Danio rerio: one gene and its partners. Each later gene encodes a partner of the first gene's protein in a complex. Links are inferred from orthologs where the notes say so. Each region holds a gene or a part of one and is shown in the gene's direction. Other genes may lie near its edges.

Evidence for each region. Proteins that work in one complex are often made in the same cells at the same time.
Region 2: virma (region 1) and mettl14 share a complex: the UniProt entries of both Homo sapiens proteins name them as parts of the WMM complex. The link is inferred for Danio rerio from reciprocal best matches to the Homo sapiens genes VIRMA and METTL14.
Region 3: virma (region 1) and rbm15 share a complex: the UniProt entries of both Homo sapiens proteins name them as parts of the WMM complex. The link is inferred for Danio rerio from reciprocal best matches to the Homo sapiens genes VIRMA and RBM15.

The regions. Positions count from the first base shown.
Region 1 is NC_133191.1:29,802,372-29,806,431, forward strand, and holds the start of virma (protein virilizer homolog), read left to right. Parts: upstream 1-1,180; 5' UTR 1,181-1,205; coding exon 1,206-1,268; intron 1,269-4,060. UniProt on the Homo sapiens protein: Associated component of the WMM complex, a complex that mediates N6-methyladenosine (m6A) methylation of RNAs, a modification that plays a role in the efficiency of mRNA splicing and RNA processing.
Region 2 is NC_133176.1:21,570,362-21,574,493, reverse strand, and holds the start of mettl14 (N(6)-adenosine-methyltransferase non-catalytic subunit METTL14), read left to right. Parts: upstream 1-1,273; 5' UTR 1,274-1,365; coding exon 1,366-1,431; intron 1,432-1,572; coding exon 1,573-1,661; intron 1,662-1,863; coding exon 1,864-1,951; intron 1,952-2,056; coding exon 2,057-2,134; intron 2,135-2,717; coding exon 2,718-2,805; intron 2,806-2,883; coding exon 2,884-2,974; intron 2,975-3,263; coding exon 3,264-3,405; intron 3,406-3,912; coding exon 3,913-4,005; intron 4,006-4,132. UniProt on the Homo sapiens protein: The METTL3-METTL14 heterodimer forms a N6-methyltransferase complex that methylates adenosine residues at the N(6) position of some mRNAs and regulates the circadian clock, differentiation of embryonic stem cells and cortical neurogenesis.
Region 3 is NC_133183.1:26,684,669-26,688,949, reverse strand, and holds the start of rbm15 (RNA-binding protein 15), read left to right. Parts: upstream 1-1,422; 5' UTR 1,423-1,569; coding exon 1,570-4,131; 3' UTR 4,132-4,281. UniProt on the Homo sapiens protein: RNA-binding protein that acts as a key regulator of N6-methyladenosine (m6A) methylation of RNAs, thereby regulating different processes, such as hematopoietic cell homeostasis, alternative splicing of mRNAs and X chromosome inactivation mediated by Xist RNA.

The DNA.
Region 1 (4,060 bases):
CTTTTTTATTCAATGTCACAAGAACTACGGTCACATCAGAGTAATAGTTCACCCCAAAAATAATAATAATCAGTCATCGTTTACTCAGACTTGATTAAAAACCTGAAACTATTAACTATTGATAGAATTATTTTTCTCCATTGAAGTTAAGTTTCCAACAATCTCAAGACGTCTTTTCTAATCTTCTTTTGTGCTCAACACAATAAAAACTCAAACTGTTTTAAAACAATTAAAGGGTGAGGAAATTAAGACAGAATTTTCATTCTTGGATAAACTTTCCCTTTATTAACATTAATTATTAAAAAAATATTAGAATAAAACAATGAGGCAGCATAGGGGTGTAATGGGTAGCACAATCGCCTTACAGCAAGAAGGTCGCTGGCATTTCTGTGTGGAGTTTGCATGTTCTCCCCGTGTTTGCGTGGGTTTCCTCCGGGTGCTTTAGTTTCCCCCACAAGGCCAAAGACATGCGGAACAGGTGAATTGAGTAAGCTGTTTGAAGTAAATTGTTTAAGAAAGATTTGGTTTGAAAAGCAACATAATATATTTTTAACTAGGCTATACACACAAATCACTATAACATATCTATGTTTTCTGCCAAAAAAACAAACAAACATTTTAACACAAACTAATCTTGACGTTGAAACTAGTTCATCTTTTTTGGTATTATCCATTTTTTTTGGAAAAATCTTTTACATTTTATTCGAAATAAAATTTATAATGAATGTACTTTTTTACGAGTATGAACAAAAGTAAACAGTTGTATGTGGGGAACTTAATTTTGCTGCTTGCTAAATTTCACATTCATAAGTCAAAATTTTCTTACTCCAGACCTATGTTTGTGCTTTTTCTGAACGAATTTAAACAATATCTTTCACTGATCCAATTGTCTCAAAACAAAAAGGCTCTAAAAACTTAAACTGTCTGCGGCTCTTTCCCAATGTTTGATGAGTACATTTTGCTTTTTCAGTATGTACTTTTTATATACCCCCTGTCTTAGCTGTTTCTTCTTTTTATTTGTTTGTTTTGTGCCGTTATTTTTCTTCATTGTTAAAGATAATTGTTCTGCCTATTTGTTGTTGTATGTATTAATTGTATACACTGTTTATGGGCTTAATAAAAAAATAAAAAATAAAAAACCTTGACGTACGCCTTCAACCCCGGAAGTATATCGCTCACCGGAAGTTCTAATGTGATCAAGAAAGATGGCGGGGGATTCTGCAATGGAGCTGCTCTTTTTAGATACGTTCAAGCATCAAAATGCAGAGGTAACGTTAAACATGCAGCGTTTCCTATCTTCACTCGTGACTTTCAACAGGATTTTGCAGAGGCCATAAACTTTTACACACGTTAAAATATTTTCGCGCGTTCTTAAAGTTTCCATTCTAGTAACGCACAGGGCGCTGTAAGCAGTTAGCTTGCTAATCAACCTAACCACAGCAATTTATACATATCCTCTACATTCAAGGCAACAATACAGCTCGTGATTTCATAATAACTCTGTATTCTCCTCCAAAACATTTATGTGAGCTGTGCTATGGCTGAACATGTCTAATGTGAAGACATAAGGTTTAAGTTGTTTCTCGGTGCAAGCAGACTATAAACAACGTGGCTATAAACAAGCAGTATGTAACATTAGGTTACTGTGACAAACCAAAGATTTGATTTTCTTTACAATAACGTGTTTTTGTGAACATAGGGTAGCGGTGCTTGTTTAGTAACCTCTCCGGTTCTCATGAGCTTGATTATCTGACAGGAGCGCTTGTGTTTGTAAACAAAATGGTCAGTCTGTATAGAAGAAATTCACAGAGCCTGGGGGAAAAGTGTTTGGAATTTTTTTGGTAAAGTTGGTTTTATATTTGCATATTCGGACTTTCTTCTTAATAATATCATATCTGAAAAGTATTATTTGCAAACTCTTAATCGGGAAATCATAATAGCAGTCAATGACTATCAAAGTACGACACTGTTTACAGTCAGTTAAATAGTGCTGATGTTTTGACGTCATTTAAATGCGATTTTACATCCAATATTTAAATTAGCATGGTAAACGGACCGTTAAATGAACGAATGTGCGAATATGAAACCTTTACCTCTGTGTGTTTGGAGTTGGGCCAAATAGAAATTACAAACCATTGTGTTTAATGTATAACTTTGTTGGTCATATTACGTTTTTTTTTGTATAAACAGTCAACATTATTATTCTTCCTTTGAATTTTAATTACATTTTCAAATGTTTCATTTTCAAATATAGTAGTGTTTAAATAATAGTTTTAATTAACTTACTAGTTTATAATTGCTAATTTCTTTTGTCTTTGCCATGAAGGCAATATTTTCCAAGATACTAGTTTTCAGCTTAATGTGCAAGTTAGTGGCTTGACTAGGTTTTTAGGCTAAACAGACAAGTCAGTAGACAGATTGAGCTAAAGTTGTTTTTTTATTCTCACATTTGTTCAGTAACACGCACCCTTTATTGTTTACCACGGTACTTTGAATATACGGTCTGAAATCACATGCAAGTATGACTTCGACAGACCATCAGCACTATTTAATTGACTGTGAACAAATTAAAAATAACAAATAAAATAAATATTAAGGAGAAAGTGCGAATGTGTGAAAAACCAACTTCACCTTAATGGTGGACTGGTTAGTTCTGTATTTCTTGTTTGGGGGTTAATAATATTGGCCTTAAAAATTACTTTAAAGAGCTGCTTTTATTAAAGCCAACAAAAAAAAGTGTTTTCCCCCAAAAAAGAAAATTCTGTGAAAACGTCCTTGCTTCGTTTAATATCATTTGGGAAATATTTGAAAAAGAATAAAAATTTCTCATGAGAGCTAATAGTTTAGCATTAAACTGTATATAAAAAGATTTTTGGCCTGTCTTTTATAGTCTCACATTTTTTGTGTGTAAATATTTTTTTGCTGTTGTTGCTTGAATGTTTTGTTCATTGTTTCTATGACTGTTTTTTTTTTTATGGGTTTTTTTTCAGTATGTTTTTGATATAGTTGTAGTTTGTGTGATCACATCTGATTGCTAAACGTTTTTAGCCAAGCAAAAACCTGCATTTATTAATTATATTCAGAGAAAGATTAAGCAAAATGAACTTAACATAAGATAATTGAGTAACTTATGCTTTCACGATAATCAATATATCATCTTATCAAACAACATGTCGACATCACCACAATCATTTTTGGTGAGGCAATATATATCACCCATACATAGAAACCAATTCTAGCAACATTTCATCTGATTGTGCAATGTATCTGTCTCTATTGGAGGTGTCAGTGTCGGTATGGTTAAAAAACATTATAGTATTTAATATAAATGACTATGGTATATTTTCATGGGAGTGTCTGACAACAAAATAGATCTGGTAGTCGATATTGCAGCCTCTGTTACTTTTTACCTTGCACTTTTTTTCTCAACATTTATTATTATTTATTTTGTTTATTCACATTCTGATTCCAGTGCCTAATTATTAAACTGTTAAAATTACTGTACTTATATGAAATATTCTTAAGAGTAAAATATGATGTGGTCTTTGGAGGAGTGTACATTCTGGCATATAATGAATGACATAAAATGGTCCTAAAATGACAGTAATTTTGTTTATCGCAATATATTTTGGTGCAATATTATGTACAATAAAAAAATAGATATCATGACAGGCCTATGAGTGTCTATATAAACTTAGCTACACTTTATTGATGGGTCTTTTTCGACATTTGTTTCTAATTACAAGTTAACTAGCAGTCACTACACTACAGCATCAATAGACTGTCCCCATAATATCTGCTGCTAACAGTTTAATGATGGTTCAAGACCACAAATTCGACTGACAATCAGTAACTTTGTAAGTGTGTGAACTTCTTATCTGCTAGTACTAATAGCAACCTAACAGTTTACTGATAGTAAAGTAGTACTGCTAATTTTTTTCAACAGAATGTCTATAGAGGACCACTAAAATGAAGTTTAATGTTTTGTTTTTTTAAATCTTCAGTAACTGATTACCTGAAATTGATTAAAATAATCTTATATTTATTATCACAGTTATGC
Region 2 (4,132 bases), on another chromosome or scaffold:
AGCAGCAGACGCGGATCAATAAAAGAGAAACCGGGGAAGCCCGGAGCTTATGACTCATGCATATTGATGATCGTCGCCCAGTCTGGATTTCAAGTTTAAAAAGAGAACAGTTGATGGTAAAAATCAATAGTGTCCTTCATTTAATAGTGACAAGTTGCAGAACAATAGAAAAAGAATCTACGAGGCAAATAGTAATTGCTAAATAAATCATTCCACGATAGCGCCCGAGCTGCGCGCGCCGATCTTCCCACAGAGTGAACTTAAACGAGAGTCTGCCACGTTATATCAGTAATTTGGCGTCTAGTCTGGTCTGGTCATCACTGTTGGTCTCTCCGAGACAACACGGTGTACAAATTTCGGCTCAAGCTTTCAGAACTAATCACAATGACAAACAGCCAAAAGTTCACTTCTGCCCTCTTGTGTCAGTAAAATGCAACCAGAATCAATGCTTTTCATTTATGAAATTATAAACATTATTAATTATAGAATAATAGCTAATTTAAAAATATATTTTTAAAATCGGTTTCAGTTACTTTCAGTCAGCAAGGATAGATCAAAACAAATACAATATTAAAAGAAAAGAAAAAATACAATTATTCAAAGTCTAAATTTAAGGCTTTAAAATAATTAACATTGCTTTTTGTTTTAGTATTTTTTGTTTTTATATCGTACATGATCTATTTCTATTTTAAAATGAGTAAAATTAGGTTTTTTTCACAGCCCATTTACATTTACGAATAAAACAAATTCCACATATAATGAGCAAACACTATACCAAATTTTGAAGCCGGCTGTATTCTCATAATAAACATCATTTCTTTTAATTCCAATGCAATACTCGTACTCCGCAAAAAAAAAAAAGATCACACCAAAACAATAGTGTATAAATACAATCAAAATAAATGAACAATACTCTCTTCTTAATCGTTACAGAAAACACATTTTAAGTCAACACCTTTACAAAATTGTGCAATTACCTGTTTTACATGATAAAAACGATTAACAATTTTAAATATTAAGTTACCTCTCTAATTTTTCAGTTATACAAAAACGTCTGGAGATCTTAAAAGTCTGGTTCGAGTTTACGTCTTGAAATTGTGATCTCCAAAAACTAATGGCTGAAGGAACACTGACAGTCAAATCATTCAAAGATAATCATTATTACATTTTGTTTACGCTAGTTGTTTTTACTCCAAATAAAAGTAAGAGGCCGTCTACTGACGTCACCGTATGCGTCAAGCATTGTGATGATGTAAAATACATGCGACGGTTTCTCACGTTGAGGGTTTCAATGGATTTTTGCCGCACTATTGTTGTCATCTGATCATTTCACGATTAGCTATTTTCCTGCAAAACATTTTCGACATGAACAGCCGCTTGCAAGAAATACGGGAAAGGCAGAAGCTCAGACGTCAGCTTCTCGCACAACAGGTACGAATACACAACTTTATTTCTTCCTGCAGAAAGCCAGTTTTAGCAAACACTGCCATATTAACGCGGTGTTATATTACTAACGCCAATGAACGTAGAAGCATTGCGAATGTTTTATGACATTAATGATTTGTTTTACAGCTCGGAGCAGAGAGTCCCGACAGCATCGGCGCAGTTCTCAACAGTAAAGATGAACAAAAAGAGATTGAAGAGACTAGAGAGACCTGCAGGTATAAACCATTTGTTAAATTCAAGGACTATGTGCAGCACTAAAAAATAAAGAACACTAAGACCTATATACCCCAAAAGAGCTAAAACTGTACTGATAGGACAACCTTTACATTCAGCACGGGTATGTGATGCTGCTACTTGTAAGTTAGTATTAATCAGAACGATGCTGAGGTCAGTTACCATTTGGTTTGTTTACTGTAGGGCATCATTTGACATATCAGTTCCTGGTGCTAAAAGGAAGTGTCTGAATGAGGGTGAAGATCCAGAGGAAGATGTGGAAGAGCAAAAGGTGAGAGAGCGCTGATCAGGAATCGGCTGTTAATTCAGAAAAGCCCTTACATTTGATCAGGTCAGAGCTATGTGTAACTGATTTTGAATCTGCTGTATGGTGTAGGAAGATGTTGAGCCTCAACATCAGGAAGAGAGTGGACCATATGAAGAGGTGTACAAGGACTCCAGCACATTTCTAAAGGTATCTTTAAACACAATTGTATATGATTTAATTGAGCAATCGGGTATGAGAAGCTATGATATTTTTGTGAGGATACTCAGACATATATTCACAAAACGGTTACCACTATATACTGTCATTAAAGGCAAAAACATGGTAATTTTTGAAAAGTACGATCTTTAAATTCTTTCATTCCATCAGAAAAACTGTCCCTTACAGTAAACGTAAACTGCATTGGGTTTTGCAATTAAGGTATGTTTCATAGTTCTTAGAACTAATGTAGGAAATTCTCGCTTTTGACATGTTTGTAATGCAAGGACTAGGAACAGTTTTAGTTATTGGAGCTTTTTTGGGAAACAAGTGTTACATACAGTATATACATACAGAAAGCTAGAGATAGTCTCATTTACCTGTTGGCTTTTTCTGCTTTCTGCATTCTTTCCTTTGTATTCCTTTGTATTATGTATCAGTATAAGATGTCATAGGGGATTTATTTCTTCTGGTTCCTTTTTCAGTTGCATAGTTTATGTCTATGCAAAGTCACTCTAAATATTACTAAAATAACATAAGTAATGTTTTTATTATATCATTACTTGTTTCACAGGGCACTCAGAGTTTAAATCCTCACAATGATTATTGCCAGCACTTTGTGGACACAGGTCATAGACCTCAGAACTTTATCCGAGATGGAGGTAAAGTGTTTTTCTACTTTTTCTTTTTAGTTTTCCACTTTGAGAGTGTGTTAACCTGTGTGTTCTCATGTGCTGTAGGTTTGGCTGACAGGTTTGAGGAATACCCCAAACAAAGAGAGCTCATTCGACTGAAAGATGAACTCATCTCTGCCACCAACACTCCCCCCATGTAAGAAAACTTGGTCTCAGTCTATGTCATAGGGCCCATACCGGCCAGTGGTGCCCATTTGCAGTTTTTGAAACCTGAAAATTATTCACATTTGTGTATAAAACACTGGGTTTTATTTAGATTCTAGAATTTTATTTGAACGTACTAAAAACAAAAGTGATTTTGAGGTTGCTAAGCAAATAAAATCAGTTATTTTTTATAATAATTAGAAGCATTTAACTATGGGACAATTGGGTCTTTTTCAATGCTTTTATGAATGTAATAACTCTTGCGTTTGTGTGCGTTTCAGGTATCTCCAGGCAGATCCAGACACGTTTGATCTGAGAGAGTTGAAGTGCAAGTTTGATGTGATTCTGATAGAGCCTCCATTAGAGGAATATTACAGAGAGTCAGGCATCATTGCCAATGAGCGCTTTTGGAACTGGGACGATGTGAGTTACTGCAAATTCTCAAAATCAACCTCATGAGAATGTTTTTAAAATTGATTTCAATTATGTATTATAATACACATTAGAGATATACTTGACTACACTCAAAAATGAAAATTCTATCATCCCCACTTGTCCCAAAGCTGTTTGAGTTCATTTCTTCTGTTAAACACAAAAGCAGATATAGTGAGGAATGCTGGGGGAAAACAGCCGTTGACTTTCATAGTTTTTTTGTTTGTTTGTTTTAGTTGTTTTTGTTGTTCCTAATATGGATGTAAGTGGCTGCATTTTCCAACATTCTTCAGATTATCTAGTTTTATGTTCAACAGAAGAAAGACATTGATAACAATTTACAACCATTTGAGTCTGACTAAATGGTGAGAATTTTCATTTTTAGATGAACTATCCATTTAGATAACAGTTATTATATATTTTATGCTCATATAATATAATAATGTAAGATGTCCTAACATATATAATAACTTATTTTTGTATTCATGTGTGCTTTAGATCATGAAGCTGAACATAGAGGAAATCTCATCCATTCGCTCTTTTGTATTCTTGTGGTGTGGCTCAGGAGAAGGCCTTGATCTTGGCCGAATGGTACAAATCTCACAAATATACAAACTTGACATGGCAGATTTCTGTTCCATGTGCATAAACCTAAACTTATCTCAAATATGATGTACACATAATAACCTGCCCACATACAAATATGCTGCTTTTACAT
Region 3 (4,281 bases), on another chromosome or scaffold:
ATTTTACACAGCGGATCCCTTTTCCAGCTGCAACACATAGCTGGGAAATGTATTATGTTATAGTAAGTAAAAAACAAAGAGGTTCATTATACTTGTAGTAAGTATTCAGATGACCTACTTCTTTTGGTGAGATTCTGCAATGTGCTTCCAAGGGACTATTCCATAAGGCAACATGAGAGGATCTGTGAATGCCAGTGAAGTGACGTAACTGAAGATGTAGGGCACGTGACACTAAAACATGGCTAATCTTGTAGTTCTAGATTGTTCAAACAATACTATGTTCATTATGTAGGGCGTGTTTTCAAAGTATGTAGCCTACTCAAATACTCAAGAAAGTGTTTGATTTTGAATGCAGTTTGTGCATTGTAAAAAATAAATAAATGACACGTTGGCTGTTCAATTTGTCTTCTGGTGAATCAACATTGGATGAATGTGTTTATGTGCATGATAAAGTTTTTAAAATAGTTGTATTTTGTTTTATTATCACTCATTTAAGGTTTTGGACGTTTTTGTATTAAGTTCAAAGCATTGTCCTATAAATATATTCCTATTTTTCTTCATTGAAAAAAATAATAATTTGGGGGTAATTTTTTTTAATTTTGATGGTTGAATTGATAATTGTATAAGTTAAAACTATAATGGTCCCTGAGGGTATGAGTAAAGCATGCAAATTGTAAAACACTAAATTGTTTTAAGATAAATTTTAACTAATTTAAAGGCAATAACATTACTTTTATTTATTTATTTATTTATTTATTTTTTACAATTTAACATAAAAAAAAATTCACAGACATGGGCATATAATCAGAGATCTGCATTGTTTTAGTTAAGAAATTATTTCAGTTATTAGGCTAAAACCAATGGCTAAAACCCATGGAAAATGCTCATCTATAGCTGACCGACATGGTTAAAAGGCTGTTTTTTCACGTCCGTTCACCTCTGTGAAAGGCAAACACCACCATCTGTTGGACATCAAGTGAACAACGAGAATGTTTTAGTTTTTTTTTATTTGGATTACTTACGTTTTATAAAGATTGCACAGTTCATTTAAATTTATAAGAAATAACATGTAGGTGAAACTCAGACTCTTAGCATCTATTAAAGTTAAACACCGTTTAATTTTAAAAATAGCCTATACAAAGCACTCTTTGTAGATTTATCGAGATGATTAATAAATATGGTTTAAGAAGCAAATATAATATTGGCAGTACATGTTCTCAAAGACTATATGTGTGGTTAGTTGAATGTCACCTCTGTGTTTTATAAAGTGGCTATAGTAAACATTTGGCTTTTGAAGCTAAAATGGTGTACAGCGAGACTGGGCGCTGTACTAGTGCTTTAGATTGACAGACGGATCAGCCAATAGCGCTGTCGTTTCTCAGAGATTCAAACCAATCAAAGTCGACGGGCGGGTCATGTTTTAGTCTTGACAAGATGGCGTATGCGGTTGTTTTGCCGCAGGGACACTGAACAATTTATTCAGTTTATCGTGCAAATTCGTTGACGTTGCGGTAGCATTACAGTTAAAAAAGTGTTTTGTTAGGCGCGTGAAGCCAGAGGACATCTAACATGAAAGGTAAAGAGCGGTCGCCGGTGAAAAAACGTTCAAGGGCCTTGGATGATATACGAGACAGGGGAGGAAGCCATCCGACCAGTAAGAAAATGGGGGTTATCTCGAATTCTGGCGGAGGAAGCAACAACGGCAATAGTTCGTCTAAAAGCGACGGGGGCTCTGCACGACGGGGACTGCTTGGAGATAAAAGAGACGGACGGGAATTTGACGGACATGTATCCAGTCGGACTGGTAATAACCACGGTTACACGAGCCCTGTTGCGAGCTCAAGCGGCAAAAATCACGCCTCGAGTCTGTCCTTAGAGGCGGCGCGCACCAACTCGCGCGGGGAGGCGCGCGCACCGCTTCCCACAAACGAAAGTGAGTACAAAACTTTAAAAATCAGCGAGCTTGGCTCGCAGCTGAGTGACGAGGAAATCGAGGACGGCCTCTTTCATGAATTCAAAAAATTTGGTGACGTGAGCGTCAAAATCAGCCGAGTGAACGACGAGAGAATCGCATTCGTCAACTTTAGGAGACCGGATGATGCCAGGGCGGCAAAGCACGCACGAGGCCGGCTGGTGCTCTACGACCGTCCTTTAAAAATCGAGGCAGTTTACTTGAACAGGCGGAGGAGTCGCTCTCCGGTGAAGGAGGATCATTTCTCTGTTGTTGCAGGCCATAGACATTTGCATACTCAGAGGCCGCTCTCTCCAACCGGCCTGGGCTACAGGGACTACCGGTTACAGCAGTTAGCACTGGGTCGGCTTCCTCCTCCCCCACCCCCGCCTCTGCCCAGAGAGCTGGAAAGAGAAAGAGAGTTTGCCTTTTATGAAGCGAGGGCGCGGCCCGCATACATAGCAGAGCGAGCCGCTCCTTTCCGTGAGGAGGACTTTATCTCTCCAGAGGACGACCAGAGAGCCAACCGCACACTGTTTTTGGGTAACTTGGATATTACTGTGACTGAAAACGATTTGAGGAGGGCTTTTGAACGATTTGGGACAATCACTGAGGTGGACATTAAAAGACCCACTCGTGGCCAGAGCAGCACCTATGGCTTCCTTAAATTTGAGAATTTGGACATGGCTCACAGAGCTAAAATTAGCATGTCTGGGAAAGTTGTGGGCCGAAACCCCATAAAAATTGGATATGGTAAAGCCACCCCAACCACAAGACTATGGGTGGGTGGTCTTGGCCCTTGGGTGCCTCTGACTGCATTAGCCCGGGAATTTGACCGCTTTGGAACTATTAGGACTATAGACTACAGAAAAGGGGACACCTGGGCTTATATTCAGTATGAAAGCCTGGACGCTGCTCAGGCAGCCTGCACACACATGCGTGGATTTCCTCTTGGTGGTCCTGACAGGAGGCTGAGGGTGGACTTTGCTGACACAGAGCATCGCTACCAACAACAGTTCTTGCAGCCCCTCCCCCTGCAACATTATGAAATCATGGCTGAGTCTTTCGTTCATCGTGCCACCCCTGAAGCCATCAGGGTCAGAGAACGGACTCCTCCGCCACTGCACTTCAGAGAAAGAGAACTCTATGCTGGGGCTGAGTGGCCAGCACCTACTATTCGTGAACGTGTACGAACTCCTGCATTTGAGCCCCTTGAACACTTAGAGCGTGAACGACGGCGAGAGGCCTGGTCACTGGAGCGAGAGCTGCCAGGCAGAGAAGCTGCACGAAAACGGCGGCTCATGGAGGACGGCAGACATCTGGAGTGTTCGCCTGACAGCAGCAGTGAGTGGGCGGCCCGCCGTCGCAGACCCCCGTCGCTTGAGGGCAGCCCAGGCGGCAGCAGCCGAGACGGACGTTTCAGTGACTCTGAGCGTCCAGCGAGAGCAGACCGGGTGTCCCCAGCACGAGAGAGCCGCAGCAGCCTGGACCGAGTTCCCGGTGAGAAACGCATCAAAAGCAACAGCAACCTCTCTGAGTCCAGCATCGGCGCAAGCCCTGCAGAACGAAAGCGCAAAGCGGGCGATTCAGCTAAAGGTGCATCCAAGAGGGACAGATCCGAAAGCAGCTCCAAAAGCAACCAAGCTTCAAAACAGGACGCAGGGGGGAAGCTGAGCATGGCCTGGAATGGCATGCTGCTCCTCAAGAACAGTAACTTCCCAGCCAGCATGCACCTCCTGGAGGGGGACCTGAGCGTCGCCACCAGCCTTCTCATCGACGGCAGCACGGGTGGAAAAGTCTCTCAGCTGCGCATCACACAACGGCTTCGTCTAGACCAGCCCAAGATCGACGAGGTGTCTCGGCGCATCAAAGTGGCAGGCCCAGGAGGCTACGCAGTTCTACTGGCAGTTCCAGGCAGCTCTGAGGAGACTTCATCATCAGACCCAGCAGCATCCACGCAGAGGCCTCTCCGCAACCTGGTTTCATACCTGAAGCAAAAGCAGGCCGCCGGGGTCATCAGTTTGCCCGTCGGCGGCAGTAGAGATAAGGACAACACTGGCGTCCTGCACGCATTTCCACCATGTGATTTCTCTCAGCAGTTCTTAGATTCTTCTGCGAAAGCTCTTGCCAAAACAGAAGAGGACTTCCTGGTCATGATCGTTGTGCGAGGAGCATCTTAACAGTCATAATACACACTAAAGTATTGTTAAATGCAAGCTTCTCTTAATGTCTCTTAATTGCATGCTCTCTAAAGCAGAAGTGGTACTAGAGTAAAGGGCAGCTGTTGTTACCTGCTCTGCCAAACATGTACAGTAAAAAAGAGAGAAAAT